Linked DNA regions of Astyanax mexicanus. The protein of the gene in region 2 interacts with the protein of the main gene of each other region in a biochemical or structural test. Links are inferred from orthologs where the notes say so. Each region holds a gene or a part of one and is shown on either strand. Other genes may lie near its edges.

Evidence for each region.
Region 1: the proteins of ncoa6 (region 2) and hnf4a form a complex in vitro, tested with the Homo sapiens proteins (2 studies listed by BioGRID). The link is inferred for Astyanax mexicanus from reciprocal best matches to the Homo sapiens genes NCOA6 and HNF4A.
Region 3: the proteins of ncoa6 (region 2) and tgs1 form a complex in vitro, tested with the Homo sapiens proteins (2 studies listed by BioGRID). The link is inferred for Astyanax mexicanus from reciprocal best matches to the Homo sapiens genes NCOA6 and TGS1.

The regions. Positions count from the first base shown.
Region 1 is NC_064420.1:2,567,952-2,575,950, forward strand, and holds the start of hnf4a (hepatocyte nuclear factor 4-alpha), read right to left. Parts: upstream 3,311-7,999; 5' UTR 3,268-3,310; coding exon 3,153-3,267; intron 1-3,152. UniProt on the Homo sapiens protein: Transcriptional regulator which controls the expression of hepatic genes during the transition of endodermal cells to hepatic progenitor cells, facilitating the recruitment of RNA pol II to the promoters of target genes. Activates the transcription of CYP2C38.
Region 2 is NC_064420.1:49,309,568-49,317,317, forward strand, and holds the start of ncoa6 (nuclear receptor coactivator 6), read right to left. Parts: upstream 3,110-7,750; 5' UTR 2,988-3,109; intron 804-2,987; 5' UTR 762-803; coding exon 497-761; intron 1-496. UniProt on the Homo sapiens protein: Nuclear receptor coactivator that directly binds nuclear receptors and stimulates the transcriptional activities in a hormone-dependent fashion. Coactivates expression in an agonist- and AF2-dependent manner.
Region 3 is NC_064411.1:37,312,820-37,321,169, reverse strand, and holds the start of tgs1 (trimethylguanosine synthase), read right to left. Parts: upstream 3,054-8,350; 5' UTR 2,951-3,053; exon of another isoform or gene 2,737-2,950; 5' UTR 2,715-2,736; coding exon 2,602-2,714; intron 1,956-2,601; coding exon 1,891-1,955; intron 1,795-1,890; coding exon 1,646-1,794; intron 524-1,645; coding exon 1-523. Other genes in the region: tmem68 (transmembrane protein 68), read left to right, coding at 6,670-6,997, 7,715-7,882. UniProt on the Homo sapiens protein: Catalyzes the 2 serial methylation steps for the conversion of the 7-monomethylguanosine (m(7)G) caps of snRNAs and snoRNAs to a 2,2,7-trimethylguanosine (m(2,2,7)G) cap structure.

The DNA.
Region 1 (7,999 bases), about 47 Mb from region 2:
TGCTAATAGAACTAATCATTACTCAAGAATGCGTGAATAAACGTGAGCGTGAGTAAGACTTCAGGAGCTTAATGACTTGGAAAACACGGAGACGGACATCTGAAATAAATACAGCTCGAGTGAATTAACTGAATTAACATGCCTTATTAACATAATCCATAACATAGGCCTCAATCCTGCTGCTGTAAATACAATTTTTTTTGCTGAGTATCTCAAAATATTGAAGGAAGAGCAAAATTTACACCTATTTAAAGTCTTTTAAATGACCACTTCTTAGCTTATTCAATGGATTTTAACTATATTTTATAAGTTTATAAGTTTATATATATATAATCAAAAATGCTTTTGGTTAATGAAGCTGTTTTTTTACACTTTAAACCAATAGAATTTTTAAAATGCAAATTAAAATATTATAATATATTATATTATATTCATTCAGTCTAGATTTTTAAATAGTTTTACAGATGGTATTTTTGGATTGTATTAGTTAAAATTATTATTAAATATTTATTTTATTCTCTTTTTTATTTTTTGCTATTTTATTACTGATAAAATTGAATATTTTAAATAAATTAAAAAATTAAGAAAAATTTACTTAATGCAATACTTAATTTCTTAATCTTTGTTTTTATTGTTTGTATTATCTTAACTGTATTATTTAATTTTTATTTCTATTATTTTACTATCCTTCTTTTTATCCATCTCCATTTTTTTGGAATTTTTAGAATATTTCTTATTTTCTTGTGAAGCACTTTGAATTTTAACATGATTTATCGAAAAACAAATACAAATTCAGCTTGATTGATTCAATGATTAATTAATTGTATAATATTAAGTGTAATATGTTCTTATTACGTCTTATTCGATGTAATAGTCTTAAAAAGTGCTTAAAACCCATTAAAACCAAAGTACTTGATCAAAGATGATCAAAGGGAAGCACGATAGATGTGTAGATGTTTCAGTTGATTGATTTGCGATTGACTGATTATCTGAATGGGAGAAAACAACAGCAGTGTGAGAGGATTGGGAACCAGAGTAATTAAACTCAATTAAATCATCATTCGTAGCCTAATTAAAAACTAATCATCTAAGAAATCACTGTAAATCCAGTAGTTCTGGACTTAAGTATATATATGATTAAATCTCGTATTATCTTTGGGGTCAATTTGACCCTATATAGTGTTTAAAATCCCCTATAAAGTGATTAATTCAATGAATATGTAAAAAATGTAATGTTTCAAATGTTTCAATCCCAATGTCTTTGTTATTAAGGCTGTTTTATATGAAATATCAATTTTTTTACACACATTTTTGTGGTAATGTTCAACACATGTTGAGGTCTTTTTCTAAACGCCCCCTAACTTAACACTTAAAATAGACACAACACTTTAAATACTTATGTAATACTATTATACCATTATAATAATGATACAAGTGCTGATAATTCATCAAATAAACATAAAGTAAGGAGTTTTAAATTGCTGACATCATACTGATCGAGAGAAAAGTATCAGTATTTACTTACTTATTTAACGTGAAAAACAATTAAGTGTGATGTCATTAAATTACATTATTTTTACAAGACTACTCTCATTTGAGTATCATTTCTTTGGGAACCAAACCGTTTCCACGTTGCACAATCAATGCATATTATTATTTCTTTTTTTATTAATCCATAATAAACACATATTTTAACCAGCAAAGCATCAAAGCAATCTTTCGATATAGTGCAATATATGCAAATATTTCATTATAATAAATTAATAATATATTTTCCAGCCCTAAAACCCCATTAAAGTTCCTCAGAGCATCCAGATGTTCAAGCACCTTAAAAGAAGAAAGGCTAAGAAATGAATTGTTGGTACTTTTTTAACTTATTTAACAGATTTTGCAGATACTTATATAATCGAGTCAGTTTCTCATGACGTTCAGACATGGGAAACTAAGCTGTGAAGTATTTCCACAACATCTTCTACGCTTGATGTCCATCTATCTAGCTGTCAGCTATCTCTGGAAACTCAACCCTGAAGAGACATTTTATCCTCAACCGACCAAAGAAAGCGGAGGGTAAAGGGAGCTGGACGGAATCACAGTGGGACTTTTAGTGGTGTAACTTTGACACGGAATGAAAGATGAGCCTGTCCACCTAACAAGACAGAGCTTGCAGTTTTCATCTTTCCCAAAGCTTCCAGACTCTCAGTTCAGATCTTCAGTTCTTTAGTTCTTTGCTTATTTAATCCTGTCTTGCTTCATTTCATTTTTATACCTTGGGGAACTTTTAGGGAATCTACAAGATCTGAAAGATGCTTTGAGGAAAATGCTTTAGGAAAGCTTGGGAACATTTCCTTCTGAAAGACCTTCTGGAGAGCCATTGACATTTAAAACAAGGCAATGATAACTTTAAAAGTGCACATTTTTAATGTCAGGCGTTTTCTACCAATGTTCCTATTCAACCAATGAGGTGTGGAGCTACTTTGAGCTGGATAACTGTTTAAAAAAAAAAGATTTATCTGCAGGGGCAAGTGGATGCCCCATTAGCGGTCGTTGTAAAGAGTTCTGGGCAAAAAAGCACAAATTTGATGGATCTTGGAAAGCTGTAGAAGAGCGCTGTTGGGCTTTAAAACAAAGTTTAAAACTCTTTATCATGTTTAACTACACTGAAAAGTTTTAATTTTACACTGGAGTTCTGCTTTAAGCAACTTCAGGACTGGGCTAAGCATATGTGTATGCATAATATCATATATTAATATAATTTTGTGGTGTTTAAAGGTGACTTAAGGAACATTTTCTTCTAAAAAGTCCTATAAATTTCACAGCACTTTATTCTTATTGTGGTTATTGGGTTCCTCCAGTGCATTAAACTTTTTAAAAACTCCTGTTTTTAAAAAAAAGTTGGCAGTATAAACACTAAAATAAGAGTATAAAATAATAAATATAACTCAGTATAAAGCATACTGTTCTAAACAGGTCATCCCATCCAGAGGCATCTCTAAGGAATGTATAAGGAATCTATAAAGTCTATAAACCAGCCCAAAACCCATTAAACCAACCTCATCATCCTACGCTTGACCAAACATTCTCCAGCCTATATAAAAAGTCTCAGGACTCAAAGTTCAGCCCGGGACCTGAACTTTGTCTGCAGGGTGACTCACCTGTGCTCATGGCGAGCACCTGCATGTTCTCGAACTCCAGGGTGGTGTAGGCTGGGTCCAGGGCCTCGCTATAGTCTGCCATCTCCATGTCTGCTAGAGCTTTGGACAAACGCATTCTCAGCTAGCCTGACACTGAGGGGAAAGACTTGTCCTCTCGCCGGAGTCCGGACCCCCCCCTCTCATAGAGCAAGCCCCGCCCCTCGCAGAGGTAGACACCTCTGAGTGACACGGGACATGTCCTCTGGGGCAAAGATGAGGCTGACTTTGACTGACAGGTCAGACCCCGCCCCCTCGGCCACGGCCCCAGTTCTGGAGCGGGGTGGCCCTTGGGTTAATCATTGTCTGGCTTTTTTTTCTTTAGTGCTTAATATGGATTGTTTTTTTTAGAGATAGAGATGAACAAGGCCTCTCTCTCTCTCTCTCTTTCTCTCTTTCTGTGAGTCTCTCTTTCTCTCTTTTTAATATCAGATTTTATCAAAAAAGCAAAAAAGCTTAAATAAGTTGACTTTTGTCGAATAGCACACCTCCGCTCTCCCACAGCTTTCCAAGACCCAGTAATTTTGTGCTTATAAGCCCAGCACTCTTTACAACAGCCGCTTCAGGGCATATTTTGCCCCGATAAATCGTTTTTTTCCACCGTTATCCAGGCTCAAAGTAGCTCCACACCTCATTGGTAAAATCTGGAGAGCTCTGAAATATAAAACGAGGCATTAATACCTTTAAAAGTGCATGAAAAACATATTAAAACCACTTTTTACAACTCTTTTGTAGCATTAGATGCTGTGCATCTCTGGGCTTAAAGTTAAGTCATGATCAGTACAGTGATGGCGGCGCCCAGAGATCTAACGTATCTAGCGCTATGGAGCTTTCAGACCTCAAATAATGCAAAGAAAACATAAAGTTTTCATAAAGTTGTAAGAGTTCAGAAATCAATATGTGGTGGAATAACCTTGGTTTTTATGAATCTTGGCATCATGTTCTCCTCCACCAGTCTTACACACTGCTTTTGGATAACTTTATGCTGCTTTACTCCTGGTGCAAAAATTCAAGCAGTTCAGTTTGGTGGTTTGATGGTTTGTGATCATCCATCTTCCTCTTGATTATATTCCAGAGGTTTTCAATTAGCTAAAATCAAAGAAACTAATAATTTTTAAGTGGTCGTTTATTTTTGTCTTGTCTGTATTGTATTTGATGGGGAATTTCTTCTGTAGGTACTTCAGCTTTCTACATATTTAAGACTCAATCCTGTACTCAATCCAGTACAGCAGCAGCGACTCGACTTTTCACCCAAAACTGCAGTTTTTAGTTATGACTAAATTTGGCATAAAGTATAAATGTTGGCCATTCTGTTCTCTATAGTTGGAACTTTGAGTTTTCTGTAGAACAAAGAGTTCTTTTACATAAAGGTCAGCATTTTTCCAGCTACTCAGAGTCACTGCTGTTGTTTATTGTGCAAGAATTAACAGAGACTTAGCAAACACATCATTTAAGCATGAAAATCAGGCTGGCTGGCTCTCAATCTGATTCTGTGGCCACGTAATATAATACATCCTGAAGAACATTTCTGTATTTTCCTTTAAGAAGCCTACAGTACATGTTCTCTGTATTTTAATTACGATTCGGCTGAAATCTGCTTATGATGGCTGTGTGGGTTCATGTAGTGAAAACAGTCACATTTCATTTTAACATGAGAATTTCCCACCCATAATTCTTCCCTTAGAAGAAAACAAACAGCTTTCATAATTGTGAATTTCAGATATTTGTGTCTAAAACAAATAGAGTGGTGTCAAATTCTGGTTTAGGAAAAAAACGAATAGGCACTTTTCCTAAGTTTGACCTCCCATTACTCCAAAATGCTGCAGTAAAATCACTTAATACTCATACAACTGATATCATGTAAATTGTACTTCTAGGATTTCATGATGTCATTTGATAACAGTTTGATTTGCTGGTTTTATTTGGCTCCAAACTTTGGTTTGTGCAAAACCGAATAGGCACTTTTCCAAAGTTTGACCTCGCATTACTCTAAAATGCTGCAGTAAAATCACTTGATACTAATAACATTGATAGTTTGTAAAGGGTTCTTCTAGCATTTCATGATGTCATTTGATACAAGTTTAATTTGCTGGTTTTATTGGGCTCCAAACTCTGGTTTACGCAAAACCGAATAGGCCTACTCCATTTTTACTCCAATTAGTCCGAAATGCTACAGTAATATAACTTGATATTCATAACATTGATAGTATAGAAAGTCTTCTTTAATAATTTAATGGTATCATATAAAAAAAACTCTTAAAAACCTCTGTTTACATCCTATAATGCTAGCTTCAGCTCAGAGCACCGCCATCACTGTACTGATAATGACAGACATATATACATATATATACATTATACATAGACTCCAGAGTCTATATTTTTTAATAAGCTTCTTGTGCACTTTTTTATTCTAGCAAGGAGGTGTGGAGCTACTTTGAGCTTGAATAACGGTGTAAAAAGCAATTTATCGGGGCAAATTATTATGCCCCGTGACGCCCAATCTGAATGGTTTTTGGACAAACTGTTACAATTTCTGGATCTCTGAACGCTGTGGGAGAACGGAGGTGTGCTAATCATCAAAAGTAAGAACTTTTTTATCAAGTTTTACTACAACAAAAAGTCAATTTTACACAGGATTTCGCCTTTAATATGATTGATTACATAAGAAACCACAAATAAGCAGGTATTTCACGACTTTTGCATGTGAAATAAATCAAATAAACCTTGATTTGATTTGATTTGATATGCTAACACGCAGGTTATGTTTGTTATCTGAGGGAAAACCAAAAGTAAAGCATTGGAGCATTTACGTAAACAAGTGGAGCAAGCTCGCACACATCAGAGCCAAGGCAAACACAGCCCAGGAGATATTTGAAGAAGGGAAAGTGACAGTACAAAGCCACAGGTCAACGTTCTCCGGTTCATACGGCCACCAGGACAGTAAAACTTTACCTACCACTCATCCACCCACACGCCTGCACGAGGACAGGAGCTGCCCAAAACGGTGACCAAGTAAACTCTCTAAACACGCAGTAAAACCTCTTTTAACCAGGCTAAACAACTTAATTTACTGTATAACACATTTTACAGGCAGTTACAGTTAAGATATGGAGCTTAAAACTGACAAAGTATTGGATCTGTATTGTATATACTGGGAAAATGTGACATATATATATATATATATATATATATATATATACACACATATGTGGTAATTCATAAATTAGAATTTTATCTAAGATTTTTTGTTTTTTGACTTTGAAAGTGGTGAAAATTACTGTTTAAAGTTCATATATAACATATAACATATAACTTTTTTTTTTTAGATTTAAAATACTTAGATCCAAAACTTAGAAATACAAATTTAGGCTAAAAGTGACTTAAGATTTGAATTGATTTATTGATTTAAAATGTATGCATTAGATCTTAATTTTTTTTTTTTACATTACATTATAAATTTATAGTATTTTTTATCAATAGCAATTTTTTTGCCTCGCAAACTCAAATGAATGTGTATGAATTATGCCATTAATTACTGTATATCACTACTAAAAGACATGTACATTTAATTAAAAATAAATCCGATACCACATTAAAATAAGACTACCTTTATAAAGGGTTTATAAATGGTTTACAATTAGTTTATTAATGGTTACTAATTAGGTTGATTTTTTGTCAGTATGGGAATATCTTGATTAGCTTGTAAAAACATTTTTGATAAGATCTTGATTTATATGGCTCTGCAGATCCCCCTGGACACTATGCAGACTATATTTACTGTACAGTATTGTTTAGAATTGCTTGGAAAACACCTGAACTTACTTGCCGGACAACTGATAATTTAGATATGCATAAGAGACTAATCCTGTTTATGTGTTTTGTGTGTTTTAGTTATTATTAACATGATGATCATAAATGATAAATTTTAGATAGATATAGATAAAAAAAATTAAGAGACCACTTCAGTTTCTGAATCAGTTTCTCTGATTTTGCTATTTATAGGTTTATATTTGAGTAAAATGAACATATAGACATCATTTCTCCCAAATTCTAAATAGAAATATTGCAATTTAGAGCATTTATTTACAGAAAATGTTTATTTGAGAAGTTTTAAGAGTTCATAAATTAATATTTGGTGGAATAACCCTGGTTTTTATGCATCTTGGCATCATGTTCTCCTCCACCAGTCTTACATACTACTTTTGGATAACTTTATGCTGCTTTACTCCTGGTGCAAAACTAATTCAAGCAGTTCAGTTTGGTGGTTTGATGGCTTGTGATCATCCATCTTCCTTTTGATTATATTTCAGAGGTTTTAAATTTGGTAAAATCAAAGAAACTCATCATTTTTCAGTGGTCTCATTATACATATATATTTATATATATAGATTTATTTCTGAAAGTGCCTTTTGCTTTTTTGTGCACATTAAGATGCAAGAAATTCAAGTAAACTGTCTAATCTAAGCAAGTGCTAAGGTGCTAACTCTAACTTTAACGTGTCTTTGGGAATCTCTTCCTCATCTCCTTATTTGCTCAGGAGATTTGTTCTGGCCTCAGAAACAGTGAGGAGTGACTCACGTTCTGCAAATCTTATCTGGCTTACCATTAAAGTCTTTATCGTAGCCTAAATCTCAAGAGCCCTGTGAACGGCCTCCACGGCTCTATAAAATCTAATCCACAAGGTTATGGCTCTTTCCGTCACATGCCAAGTCAGAGTGTTCAATCCAGGTAGATCCAGATAAATGGAGAGATCGTTAGCTACATGTATCACATGGGAAAAGCCTCACGGTAACCCAGGCTAACCTTTATAA
Region 2 (7,750 bases):
GTCCTACTCTAAATGCATGGATGGATATTATAATGGATATATATGAAATGGAGAAGATAACTGCTTTTATTAATCTTACAGTGAGACAATTCCTCTCAGACTGGAAAAAATGGGTCGAATATGTCACACCCCTTAGACCTGATTTCATATTCACAAACTAACTATATCTCTGTATAGATAAGATCACCCCCTGTATGTATAAAGTTTTGATATTGTGGGCACTATTTTTTTTATTTTCTTCTTGTTCTTTCTGTTGTTTGAGGGTGGGAAGGCGGGTACAAAAAAAAAGTGTTAAGTATGGGGACTTACAGAAATGTATGACCACTGTCTGTTTTTGATGTGTGTGTACGTGTACATACACACACAAAGATTTAAATGTCCCATAATGACACGTATGATTCTGTATGACAATAAAAACATAATAAAAAAAAAAAAGAAATATATATAGGTTATTGAAAATGAATTCAAGACCAGAAACAATCCGAGGTGCCCTCACCCAGGGAAAGCATCGGGGGCATCTCGTTCAGAATGGCATCCAGCTTCTCCTGAAAGTCAGCATCGTCCAAATTTCCTTTAAAAGCCACAAAGATGGTGGTGTCCTCCTCTCCACGTGGACTCGGGGAGCGAGCCGGGCTGCGATCGCCATGATCACTGCAGACGTCGTCTCCATCCTCCAATGCGGAGTCGTGCTCGGCTGTTAAACCAACCCCAGGAGATTCTGTGCAGCAGGAGAGCTCAGACACGCTGCGCTGCTGCGCCATGGCTCTTATTAAAGAGCTCGGTGGTCTAATGCAGCTCAGTTACTGTTAGAACAAAAAACAACAGACCTTTTTATATAAACAACAAACAAATTAAATGCTTTACAACTGCAAATAAAAACAAGGTATCTACACCAATAAGGCACACTACATCCAAAGAAGTCAGATCCTAAATTAGTGTTTGTTTTTTTAATACACCATAGCAACACCTTAGCAACACCATTGCAACCAACAGGATATAACAGCAACACCTTAGCAACCACTTAGCAACACCATAGCAACCACCCACGAATCAGCACTGCAAACACAATCACAGTTTCTGCAGGAACTGCAATCTAGTTGCTTTTATTATTAGTTATGTTCTTCTTAGGTCAAAGTACATAATTTGCATGGGTTAACATAAGAAAAACTCTAAAAATTCATTGTCTAAGAAAACTAAGAAAACTTAGACTATTTTTCTCTGTTTCTGTCTTATTATTGTCATTTTAATTACACCTTTTACAAGACCTAATCTTTAAATTAGGGATGCACCAATAAGGAGATTATTTCATGATGCCAATATACTTATTAGTAACTTACAATAGAGACTATACACCATAGTATAACTTGTGTCTAGGCCTGTCAGGATATTTACATTATCGACTTACTAATACAAATACAAACAGTGAACAGTATTTTACTCAGTCATGACTGTAAAAGGTGAAGAATAAACTATATATTTTCCAAAATATATGATTAATGAAAAATATGCTGTGTTTAAAAGGTAATGAATGATTTGTTATACTATTATATTATCATCATGTCAGTGACATTTAGCTAAAAATCTTAAAATGGCAATATTATCATTTATCGGCATAGTTACTGGGACGATATATTGTCCACAAATTCCTCTGATTATTTACTAGCTAGGTAACACAAGCTAGCCCTAAAACTAACACAAATATAACCAACTAGCTAACTAAGCAAATTATGAACGTGCAGCTTAGCAATTTCACATATTTTTCTTTTTATGTTTTTAAACAAAGTCAACATTTTAGCTATTCATGTCATTGTAAATCTCACAAAAAAAGAATCACATAATTGTTGATATTAGGGTCATCAAAAATGTCTGTTCAAGACTGGATAAATCAATAATATACAAACTTATGCCTATACATTTGTACAAATCTATACCTCATCTATCTTGTACCAGTATCTTATTTAAATAAAGTAATGTAATAAAGTAAAATCTGTGTTTTTAAACAAAGTGGACATACACGATCATTGACATTAATCAAGGGTCTCTTCGATAAATCAATTAATTGTGGTTGTGTTCATATACTGTAGGAGAAGAAGTCTATAATGGAATTATTTTGACAGACCTAGACCTGACCCCAATCATATTTAATAATGGTGATCTGGTTTATAATAGTGATTAATGTGTATGTTTGTTCACATGTATAATGATGAACAGTATTTTAGCCAGTCATGCAGACAGAATGAAGAAGGTAAATAATAAACTATAACTAGCTTATATTTCCCAAAATTTATGATTAACAACGAATATGTTGTCTTTAAAGGGCTATAAGTGCTGTTTTATGCTATTATATTATCATTATGTCAGTGATATTTAGCTAAAGGTTCTAAAATAATCAAATATACAATAATATTGTTTATCGTAATAGTTTCTGGAACGATATATCGTCTAGAAAATATTGTTATTGTGACAGGCCTACGATTATTTAATAACTAAGCTAGATAACACAAGCAGCACTGAAACTAATACAAATATAACTACAGTTATACAGTAAACTAAGCGGATTATAAACATGTAGCTCAGCTAACATAGCTATTGTACACATTTCCAGCTCTGGTGTTTTAGTTATTAAATAGAAAATAGTCTCTAATTCGTCTCTAAACGCTTTGAATTCGCTGCAGAATTAAATTCAATGTATATTTTAACGGAGAAAAACGAATTAAACCCGCTCGCGCTGAGCTAACTAACGCTAGCTAACCTAGCTAAACACAATTAGCATCGATGGCTAACTAGCTCAGCTACCTATGCTAAGCTAACCGCTAGAATCTCGTTCACTGAAGCGGCGGCGGCTAACGGAGTTAGCTTAGCTGTGCTAACTAGCCAGGCTAACCATCAGAAATGCCTGTAAACTTCTGGCTAAAACCGTATTTAACCGTGTTTGCATGCCAGAACCCGGCGGTATCGATTATCAGAAGTGCAGTAGAATGATTTACCTTGATCAGTCCATTGGTAAATCGATCCGAATTAATGGTTATTGTGAATTTAGGGAGCTAGCGCGCAAACCGAGCGCGTAGCAGAGCGATCGAGCTTCTCCTTAAACCGAGCGAGCGACTGAGCGAGGCGTATTCACAAAGAAAAGTGCTAAGCTGCGCAGCGTCTACAGCTTAAACTGCTACGTAACTTGCGTAGAGAAGATGATTAGATAGATAGATAGATAGATAGATAGATAGATAGATAGATAGATAGATAGATAGATAGATAGATAGATAGATAGATAGATAGATAGATAGATAGATAGATAGATGTTTTTAATAGGTTGGCATGAGTAGGGGTGGGCGATATGGCTTTAAAATAATATCACGATATTTAATGGTATTTTTGCGAAAACGATACGCTACACTTCTGAAAAATGAAAATTAAATTTTACTATTGCACACTCCAAATTGAGACATTAAACAATACAAGAATCAATGATCCAGAATGTTATGGTACCAATAATGCCCTATACTGGACAGATATAATCTTGTCTCTAATAAATATACAATGGGAAATGAGAACAGTGTGAATTTTTCTTTTTGCAAAAAACAGTAAAAAAAAAGTAGAACCCTGATGTGATAATTAGGGGTGGGTGATATGGCACGATATTTCAGGGTATAATATCGTTCACGATATTTAATAATGTTGGCGATATTATTGGATCTGATACGATATGGCAAAATCCTAGTCATGAGATAATTAGGAAAGGAGTGGCCAATTGTGCTTTCTCAGGGCTCCAGCCACTGATGGCAAGTTTCATTACTGGGAACCGGAACCAGCGATCTCCTGATTATAGTGGCAGCGCTTTAGCCTGCTGGACCACTCGGTGCCCACATAAAATAATAATATTTTAGCAAATGAATGAAGTGAAAAGTGAAAGCCAATCGTGCACAGCATACTCTTAACTGGAAACCACCGTCAACCTGGAGGTTTCCGGACGAAACCCACACAGAAACGAGAAGAACATGGAAACTTCACACAGACAGGGACTAAAACCCAATACCCCAGCCCCAGAGTAGAACATCCCAACCACAAAGCTCAATAGCATTATAATACATTTACATTGTTTTAAAGAGCAATGAAACTTTAATGCTCAATAATATAAAGACATTTGTACTGTTTTTTTTATATATTTTAATCCAATTGACACAACACGTACTATGGATTAAGGTTCCCATTTTCTGCTCCCTAAATATTCAGTTTTACTGGCGTTTTATTCCGAACTGTGTGCTGCCAAACATGGAAGAGGAACTTAAAAATACTTAAATAGGATGCTCACAGATTTTTATTTATTATTTTTTTTTGTTCTTGTTATTGAAACGTTCACTGTGTGCGCTTTGAATGAAGGAGATGTAAAAACAACACAACCGACATTTGTGATACTCTTTGGAAAATATTAAATAATTTTTTTTAGAAATGTTTATGTATCATTTATATTACGGTATTGATTGAGTTATTCTTTAAAAACTAATTTGTGAATAAACAAATTATTACAGTGTCTGCCTAATATATAAATTTGGCAATTTCAGTTATGGGTGTAAGAAGGAAAATGCATGATAAAAAATAAATATGGGTAAATTAGGGGTTTGCAGTGATTTTATAATTTTATAAGTGGTAATAAAACAGTTTACACAAATCCTCCTTATTGTGCTTAAAATTATTTTCAGGTTTAATTTTTTTCCACCTAAATTATTTGTATGATTTTAAACTGTTATTTCTCAATGTTTTCCTGTAGTTATCAGTCCATATGTCAGAGTTGCGCATTTTGAGCTTGTGTACTCTTTTAACAGCGTAAACTGCTACGCAATTTGCGTAGGGACAGAGGCTGTACGCGGCTCTGATTGGCCGAGGGTCTATCATCTTTCGGGGCTGCGTCCCAAATCGCTCCAGGCTCTGAAGGGCAGTAAGCTGTTGTGTAGTGTACAACGTAGGTCTCACAACAATTGTACAGTATAAATAAATATAAACTGACTCTAAATGAATCATTCAGGACAGATTTAACTAGTTTTAAACTACATAATGGTGTAACAACTTGCAGCTTTTTAAAATTTTTATGTTTTTCTATCTAGTACACTAATAGTAGTAGAGCACTAAGGAGTTTTGAGCCGTTTGGAACACGACGTCATTGACGTCCATTCGTAAAAGCCGTGTTCTGAGTGGCGTCCCTGGCTGTGTTCCAATTTGCGAACCTGCGCACTACACTAGTGCATCTCAAAAAATTATAATATAATTGAAAAGTAACTTTATTTTAATAATTCAGTTGAATATAGATGTATTAAACACAAAGTGATATACTTTAAGTGTTTATTTCTTTTATTGTTGATGATTATGAAGCTTACAGCCAATAAAAACCCAGAAATCAGTGTCTCAGAAAATCTGAATATTATATAAAACCAATTGGTACTTTTGGCAGTGTGGGCAGGGTGCCAGGTCCTGCTGGAAAATGAAATCTGCATCTCTATAAAAGTTGTCAGTAGCAGAGGGAAGAAGCATGAAGTGCTGTAAGATTTTGTGGGAAAACAAAACTGCACTGACTTTAGACTTGATAATAAAACACAGTGGATCAACACCAGCAGATGACAGACATGACTCTCCAAACCATCACTGATCATCAGTAAATTTTACATTTCATTTAAAGTAAATCAAGGGAGCAGAGTCTGGAGGAAGAGTGGAGAGACACACAGTCCAAACTGCTCGAGGTCTAGTGTGAAGTTTCCACCAATCAGTGATGGTTTGGAGAGACATGTCATCTGCTGGTGTTGATCCACTGTGTTTAATTATCAAGTCTAAAGTCAGTGCAGTGTATGTGTATAATTTCAGTTGTTAATACAGCTGACTATCTGTATTATGATTAGGGATTTGGGTGGGCACATACTAAAAGCCTTTCAGAATAAAAAATAAAGAGAACATTTTCTTCAGTTCAGCAAAAAACTTTATTTGTGGTGTTGTGAAGAGCGGAGATTTCTGTAGTGTACAGACTAGCGGACACAAGGCGTTGATAAATAGTTCAGTAGAGCAGTAACTGTGAACGCAAAGAAGTACTGGAACTGTCTGAACAGAAGAATAATTACAAGCAAATTACCATTACACCTTATTATAAACATTTTTAATGTGCATCTGCTCTTAATTAGGCACACACACACTTTATACAAAAAAAGCTGTCACTGTGCAATAAGGAAGGCAAGGAATCAGGCAGGATTAGTCGACTAGCTGTGACCAAAAATGCATCATATGCTTTTAGGGCGTTTTCACACCTGCACCCCCTTTTTGAATTCAGTTAATTTGGAACCTGTTTCATTTTCCTTCTTGAAGCAATTTGTTCGGACGGCTGCAAAACTTCTGTCAAAGGCAGATATGTAAACGATTACAGGCGTAAAAGTGCTTCTTCTACTGCCCTATAAAAAGAGTCTTGGGGGCTACTTTTGGGTAGGAAGTGCACCTCCCAGTGAGAGTTCCTTGACTGCTGGATATGCCTCTATGATGCCATCAAAGATAAAAGGTGGGGCTTCTGGGAGATTAAATCAAATAAATAAATTAAATTGATTCGGAAAAAGATTTGATCATGTGAGATAGATAGAAACATTTATGGGCAGTCTAAAATGCTGCCACTATGATCGGGAGATTCCTGGTTCGAATCCCGGTCATGCAGCTTGCCATCAGTACAACTGGCCTTGCTCTCTCTGGGTGGGTACAGTAGATTGTGCTCTCTCTTTCCCCTCATCACTCCTAGGGTGATGTGGATCAGCACAAGGCTGCGTCTGTGAGCTGATGTATCAGAACCGAGTCGCTGCGTTTCCCTCCGAAATTGGGAAAAAAAACAGAAGAAAATCTAAAATAAATTAAAAAATAAATAAATAATACATTTAAGAAATGTTTAGGGGACAAAACATTTCCCATTCGTTTGCAGAAGTGAAGTGTCATGAACGGGGAACCAGGACAACTACAGGCTTCAACTGTATCTTAACTGTGTCTAAAGCGACGAATTTAGGTGCAATTCTGAGAAGGCATCACATTTTTCAGATGTATACCAGATTTATTACCAATCCGGCATTGATTTTAGAGTAGCTGGGACGCTGCAGCTTCAGCTTCAACCTATACGAGTGTAGAGGAGCTACAGGATCTACAGGCCCAGCTGTAGCAGCAACATCTGTGCGTAAATGTGCTGCAGGATCCAATCAGAACCTGTAGAACCTCCTCCAAGCCCAACCATCTCAATCTCTCTCATCTTATATCCAGAATAGAGGATCCAACAGAGTCTAAACTAGAGGCTCATTTCAGTTACAGAACAGATTTACTCTAATAAACTCTCTAATATATCATTACAATCACTCACCAAATTCAAAAACTCAAACCAACTACAGGTGTGAAAACTCCCATCAATAGCTGAACACGTGACGACACTGCATACAAAAGTGTAGCATTTTATATTTTTAAGCAGGGTCAGTGGTACAGTGTTCACTGGTTGTGTAAATATGAAAAACAACAATAATCATATTAAATAAATCTGTGAGAAAATCAAGTCTAGGGTACAGTAGCATCATCAACAAATAGAAAAAGAATAAAAAAAAGAAAACTTAAATTAAAACTATAAATGTGCAAATGTTCACAAATCAATTGTTGCACAAATGTTACTATAAAACAACAAAATATTCAAATAACAAATTAAATCAGACAAAAAACACACATTATTTTGTACATTCAATCATATTAAGAACATTCT
Region 3 (8,350 bases), on a different chromosome or scaffold from region 2:
CTAGCTCCAGTTCTTTTCCGCCACACAGTTCATGCTGTCCATTATCACAAACAGAATCATCAGCAGCTTCAGTCAAACTGCAGGACTCATCTGCAGTCCAGCCCTGAGCAGCCCAGTAGTGGAACTGCTCCCAGTAACAGAGGTATGCCTGGCTGCTGTGCTCGTCCCAGGCCTCCTTCCACTCGGGACAGTCCCATGGAGCCACAGCCTCCTCACTAGAGAACTGGGGGTGTTTCTCCACCCAACCAGCCCACAGCAGGCTCTCTCCATGCAGCTGCCAGTACTTCTGCCATGGTTCCTCAGAGACAGCAGACTCTGGGTCAGCAGGGGTTTCTTGCAGCATCTCTGTAAGAACCTGTTCCTCCTCTTTTTCCTCCTCCTGATCTCTCTTATCGGAGACTGGCTCCAGCTGAGGCTCCAATCTTGCCTCCAGCTGTGGCTCCTGCTGGTCAGAGAGCATCTCATCGTGGTCATCGCTAATTTTCTTTGTCCCTCTGTGCGGAGAGTAGCCAGTCCACTTGTTCTAAGCAAAAAAAAACACATCATTCATTCAATCATTCACAATTAAGAGAGAACTTTTATGCATTTTCATGCAACAACTAGACCGGTCATGATAATTATCGACTTATCATATAAATGTGGACATAACCTCAAATTATTTTGCTGACCTCAATATTGCCCATAGTGTAATACAAGCATGATTAATGACAACAAATACAAAAACAGATGTTTTACATTGTGTTTACTTAATTTAGGATTTTTATATATTGTTTCACAAATCCAATGTTCCAATTCTTAAGTATTCTTAATAATCATGTTAATCAGGCATTGCTTTCACTCTCCTCCTGTCGACATAAAACTGAAGATACGATCAGGCTCAAATTAGGGGTGATCAAATTACAATTCAGTTGTCTACTACCAAGTTTCGGTTGCCAAAGCATCCCTAGTTATTTTACCCAAGTACTGAATACACTGGGTGCATTAGTTATTATCATGACATGTTGCATCTTTAATTTGTACAGACACCTAGTGAAAATTTAGTATTTCTTAAATCAGTTTTCTTTAAATGTTAGAATATACAGCTCTGAAAAAATAAGAGACCAGTTTCTTTAATTTTATCAAATTGAAAACCTCTGGAATATAATCAAGAGGAAGATGGATGATCTCAAACCAAGCAGAACTGCTTAAATTTTTGCACCAGGAGAGGCATAAAGTGATCCAAAAGCAGTGTGTAAGACTGGTTTTGCATTTTGGATTCATCATCTTGACAAACAACTGGAACTGCAGTTTTGGGGCTGCATGTACAAGAAGTTCACATGCTTGTGAAGGATCTCCAAGCTCATGTGAAGAAGAGAAGAGATACACGTTGCTGTTCTATGATGATTTACAATGAAAATTTTATCTTTCTACGTGTGCATTCATTGTGGACTTCAACCTTACTCTGCCTCGCTCCAGCTCCAGCCTCCTTACAGAACATGAGTACAGTTTGAGGTTGCTGTGTGAGGTGCTCCCTTTGTTGTTCCATGCAGGTAATACAGTATAAGTTTCTTGCAGTAATTATATAAAATAAATATAGAAAGTAAAAAAAGATTTATCTTACAGCCCTATGTCATATGATGCCCAAACACATCAGATAAACACTTACCGCTTTCCTCTGCGCAGATGAGCTGGCAAACGCTACCGGCAGACCCAAACTTGCCATAAGGAGCATCTCTTCATCCATTTCCACATCCTCCTCATCTTCAGAGTGGCTATATCCCTCATCATCAACATCCTCAACATTGTCTGTTAAATCTGAACAGTGGAAATAGAAATTCAATTCACAAATAAAGGATATCCAAGAATGGATTCTATCAAGCACACAGAAAGCCTTAGGTTGAAATGGCATACCATTCTGTCTGCTGTCTGTTAGAGCCTGCAGGGATCTAAAATCAGACCGATACAGTTCTCGATCACTGTAAAAGATAAGGATGTTATTAAATGATATTAATGTTAGACCAATCACAGTATTGGTAGATATATGTCTTAAATTAAAAAGACGACCAGACAGATATTTTCTACTATTTTGTTGATAAATATACAATATATATATATATAAGAAAAGCACAAATTACAATATCAACCCTCCCAGCTGAGATACAAAGTAGTCACAACATTGTCTACTGTCTTACAACACTGCTGCTACAATGTTGTCTAAATGTTGCTCTATCTACAGTATGAACTAAGTTGTCACAGCCTTATAATTAGGTAAGACTGTTTCTAACACTGTTTCTAAGTCATAAGACTACCTTTTGACAATTTTCAAAATTGCAATCATGTTTCATTTTCTAATAATAAAACACAACATATACCAAAATATACTATTTATTTTAGCTAGATAATATAGCTAGAGAACATTAAACGTGTAAATTTGTTTTAGTTACAGCATCCAAGCTTACTAACCAGCTAATTATCCTATATAATAGCTGACAAGTTGCTCTGAATGCAAATGGCTCTAAATGGCTGAAAACACACAAGTAAAGTAAAAACAAATAAATAACAGTTAGGTTAGCTAGATAAATAGTTTAAACAGCTGACTGATTAATTGATTAAGGGGCTTACTTGACAAAAGCTCTGGAACACAGGCAGTGTATGGTCATCTCGTCTAATACACCGTGGTGGAAAAATATATCAGCTATGGGAACAGCCTGAAATTTCCCATAATTAACCATCATCAACACTGAGCAACAAAAAAACCTGTGGAGGAAGGAAGGGGATGACAGTGATCCGCTAAATTATCTTAGTTAAAGTATTTAGTCTACATCTAGCTAAGCTAGCTAACCTATCTAACCTAGTTATCTATCAGCATTTATCACGGCTTCTGATTATCTAACTGCTTAATTTCTTATGCGCGGAACAAAATAGCAGCATTAGCATCAAGCTAAATAGAAAAAAAACGTAATCTACAAACCTAGGTTAACTAGCTATGAGTCGGACATATTAAAACAACACTAAAATAAAATAAACACAAACATCTAAACGTGCGTGTAGCGCTCAGTGTAGAGACCCACATGTTTTAGAACACTCGACAAATTAAAAGCCCCAGCTCTCACAAATTCCAATAATTGTAATAAAAAAAAAACCCATTAAATTACATTTAAAAAATATGGAAAAAAGTAAATAATGTCTAAAGCTTTAATCTATTAACATACCTTGAGCCGATTTCAAGCTACAGGTGTAGGTGATACAAAACCACTATTTCTGCAGTAAAACAACTTATTTTCATTCTTAAAATTCGAGGCCTTGAAATCTTCTACAGGAAACTTAGGCTGGATTTTGTCTGTTCACTTTCTACTCCACTTAATAATTCCAGATCAGTAACAGGAATCAACCCAAATGAAACTAAAAGTTTGAAGGACATTAACTGTTTGATTTGTATTTAGGAAAATCTTTATTTTACAATTAAGTTCAGAAAAGAGCCAATTCTATGATTTATTTATTATATTTTGACATAAGCAGATTTACTTAAATATTTTTATATATTTATATTTTCAATTATAATTACAAATGTGCTTTTCAGTAATGTTCCTTTTTTAAACATGAATGCTTTTATGTAATGCTTGAATTAAAATACTTAAGATTTAATGGTGTAATGTCAGGCAGACAATTGACAAAAATCCTGGCCTGTTTTTAAACAAAATTATACTAAACCTCAATTCAATTATTACTTTCACTCAAATACTTTTATTTTGAAATTCCTGTCTTCGTACGTAAAGAAAGCCGGGTAAGCAGGAAGGAGAAGAAGGCTGTAGCCGAAGCCCAAAAGCACTTGTGTGACTTTTATTATTGATGCAGCAGCACCATGTAGTAAAGGCTAATTCAGCTATGAAGGAGAAATAATAAGAGTCCGTGAGGTGAGTAAAGCGGATAATCGTGCTGTGCGCTGCTCTGTGTTGGAGGTGCAGGTGGAGGAGGTCTGTGTTTTGGCTGAGACCTGTCAGCTGAGACCTTCAGTATTAAGTGCTTCTTATTCTAATTCTCCGTTCCACCCTAAACCGTGTTGGTGGCGATAGCGGTTCTGCTCCCTGTTCAGGTACCAGAGTGGAACAGCTGACCCATTTAAGGTGGAACGAAATATTTTTGGAAAAGAAGCTAAAGCAAGCTTTATACCTGACAGTGAGCCAGATAGAGAGATAAGAGCCACTGTGTTATCTAGATAACTCAACTAGCTAAACCGGCTCTTTTTGTTTGTTTGTTTTTTTTTTCTCTCGAAATTTGACACTGAATAAAATAATCCAACCCACGCCTGTTTAAAATAGTTTAGATAGTGTTAACAGTGTTGATATTCACTTAGTACATTTTGACACAGAGTGCTAGCTTGCCAGTCCTATCGATGTTATTAAAAATAAAAAATGTAGACACTGTTCGTCAATCTAAATTACGTGGCAAAAGATAAAAACATATATGTTTTTTAATGTGTTTGGCTGAATGGGTCAGTGTAACGTTTAAGGTTTTATTTTATTGACTGTTCAAAGCTAAATGCAAAAATAGAAAATTTAAAAATAAGTTTTCATCCGTTTTTCCATTTTTTGTTATATTAATCTCTGCACCTCATAATTGGATTTTCAGGAAAAATGAAAAAAATCTTTATTTTCTGATTTTTCCATTTTTGCATTTTGCATTATACCATCAGATTTGTGTTACAAGATACAGAAATTAAAAATCTGAAAATCGAGAGTCAGAGTCAGCTTTTAATTTTTCTTGAAATTATTTTTGCCAAAGGCTGAAATGAAAAACTGTCTAATTAAAAAATGGGATGAAAACGCATTTCTTCTTCACTCTCCTGAAAAAAAAGAAAAAAAAAAGTTTTTTTAAGTTTTTAAATTTAGCTTGATACAGTCAGAAAATGAAACTGCTAAACGTTACACTGACCTGAATAAGTTTCAAGACGACATTTTTAAAAGTTTTATACAATATTGTGCTTGGTTGGTTTGTCTACTGGAATTAAAAAAATGTTCAGTGTTCAATACTTTTTAAATTGTAGTTAATATAAAGATATAAAAATACAGGCTTTAAGCTGTTTAGTTGATGCACATGTGAAAAAGAGTTTGTGGACCATCTTTCCAGGGCCCTAGTGCACATCTTTTATTTTTTAGATAGGCAAGAACAATGTGTAGGAAAACAAAGACCTCAGACAGAGAGAATATTTTATACTTCTGTCCTTCACCCAGTCACCCAGTCACAGTATGTCTGAAAATATCAATATAATATCAAAAATATTGTGATATTTTGTTGTGCAATACTTGATCAGTTTTTAATGAATTAAATTTTTTAATGAATGAATGAAAAATGTAGTCAAATGAGATCCTGATGTATGTTGTAGCTGGTGTGATACAACATAAACAAACAAAAATGAGTCCCAGTACAAAAATAGCTTTGCCAGTTTATTTAAAGGATCTTCCAGAGAAAACAGGGTTTTGGAATGCAGTGGCTAAGCTAACTTACAAACAAAGAAACATATTCACACAGTGATGTTTCAAATTCATATGATTTTTTTTTACCCATGGTTACATATAAATCACTCAAACAAATTAACCAGAGATCATAAAGTAAAACTGGATAGCATATTGATCCTGCTAAATATTGAATAAGATAAAATGCTAACTATTTATTTGATAAAACTAAAACACAGTATACTATAGGACAAAACTCTTATATTCTTACAAATAGTTTCCATGGTAAAGTTTAGATTAGTAGATTTTGTGTTTAAACCCTGCCCATTAAATATCCATGTCTTCAGTTCCCACTGATCTTATTAGATAAAAAGTAAACACAGCCTTAAAATAAAGACACAAAAAAAACATCAGCAACAAATTTTAACATACTATGGCTGGGCCAACTTGTTTATGCAATCAACATTATCACTGTTTACAGACACATGTAGGGATGCACCAATGTGGGAATACTGAGCAAATGTCTAATTTTACAATTTTAAAACAAAAAAAAAACTTACAGCTATCTTTTTTATATTTTAAAGTTGCACATCCAGTGTAGTAGTAAAACTAATAGTGTATTATACACTTTTAAGTGCACCACCATAAGAAGTGTGTTTGTTAATGTAGTGTGTAAAGTATAAAACTATGTGGTTTGGTACAGGAGCACAAATCCCCTTTAGAATTATGGATGAATTGGTTGTCATTGGTTAATTGACTAATTGAAAATAATTTATTTAAAGCAAATCCATTAACATCTAGATTAAATATAATGAAACCTAAATTTTTGTTTGTTCCATTTCTGTATATATTGTTCTGTCTGGTTTACATTTAAAATATTTTTTTTTATGCAGTTTGTTCATTTCAGAAAGGTAGAGTAGAGTTTTTCTCGTTGATTCCAGTCACATTCATTTTTGGAATCGAGCTGCATTCTTCTCAGAAAAGGTGGCAAATCTCACTCCAGTTAAGCACCTTTGCCAACTGGGCTGCTTATTGAACCAACATAGCTTTTCGATGACAACTAAAGGCCTAATTATTGGTAATATGATAGTCACAAAGGTCTTTGTGGTCTCTAAATGTTCTCTGCTTCTTTGTAGCCAATGTTTTTTTGCTTTCTGTGAACCCTAGGTCTGCCTGTAGGCAGGAGGTGCCCTTGTTCGACCTGGCTGCCACTGGGAGAGGGACCTACTGAAGCAGCATGTCTGATGAGAATGAGTCTTGCTGGTCAGGGAATGGATCTGTGGGTGTTCTCACCTGTCTGCTGTTGGCCTGGGAGGACTGGGCTGGCCTGGGAAATCTAGAAGACTACCTCAGCTTCCTGGAGTACTTACTCTGGGTCTTTACCCCGCTGGCCATCGTCTTTATCCTGCCTTTCCTCATAGTCATCTTCCTCTACCTGTCCATCCTCTTCCTCCACGTATATAAACGCAAGAACCAGCTGAGGGAAGCCTACTCCTATAACCTGTGGGACGGGGCGAGGAAGACTCTGGCCACTCTGTGGGACGGCCATGGTGCCATATGGCATGGTGTGTAATGTGTGGCTGAGAGAGGAGGAGGAGTGGCCTTCAGTTTTTTCTTTTTGATTAATTACTGATCTGATATGATTAAATCCAAGCCTAATACAAAAGGATTCAGTTCAGTTTATATAAATGTAACATGCATTGTTTAGTTCTCCAGTATGTAAAGACATCAGTGTTAGTCTAAAAACTGGTTATAGCAAATAGCAGTGTAAGAAAATATCGATATTGTATCGTATTACTGTTTTTTTGTTTTGCAATACTGTTTCGATATTTAAAAACACAAAGTACAAAGTACAGATTTCTAATTATTAGTTTAACATATAATGCTTAGTGGCAGATTCTAGTTTATTTTGTGTTGTGTTTAAACACAGATCACTAAAAGGCAGTGTTGTACTCTGTCGATAGATCCTGCTGGTTTGATTGTATAACAAGTAAGCTACCATTTTATTGAGATTTTATAAATATGATGTGTTTTTATACTATGACATTTTTTTTCTCCTAAATTTTAATTGAAACAATTGCAATATATCGCCTTCCTTACAGTATCACAACATATATCGAATCTTGCATTGTGATACGTATATGGTGATCTCACCAAGTTCTACAATACACAGTCAATACACAGCCCTTTATTAACAAAATAATATTATTATTGTTAACATCCAGAAATCCACACTTACATTCTTTGCCATTGGAAATAATAGTGATGTTTTTGTGGAACAGGTTACGAAATCCATGGTCTAGAAAAGATCCCAGACGAAGGCCCTGCCCTCATCGTCTACTACCATGGAGCGATCCCTATCGACTACTACTACTTCCTGGCGAGTCTCATCATACAGAAGGGCCGCACCTGTCACTCGGTTGCTGATCACTTCTTGTTCAAGGTCCCAGGTAAACAGATTAGTTCCCAATCTAGAGTGTTGTAACAATCTTATGCTCAAATACCCTTAATAATTCACTGTGGCTCAGTTCCAATCCCTGAAGCTATTTCAGTGTGTGCTGCAGAGTAGTGGTAGTAAACTGTATTCATTCAAATTAAAAGCAAAGTACTATTTTAACCTTATCTCATTGCTTGCGTACTATATGGTTGTTTTACACAGACAGTTATTTTCCTGTTCTCGGAAAAGAGCAGAGAACATATTGACCCAAAACGCACTTATAATAGAAGTCAGTGGACAGATGTTTCTGCACCTGCTCAATGACTTCTATTATAAGTGGGTCATTCAACTGCTGTGGTAACAAACATTGTCCCACGACTTTAAAGCCATGAACATGAGCTCACATTAAGAATAAACCACAGCAATTGAGGTCCTTGTATTGTTTTATTTTGTCTATTATTGATACTTTTTATCTTGTTGT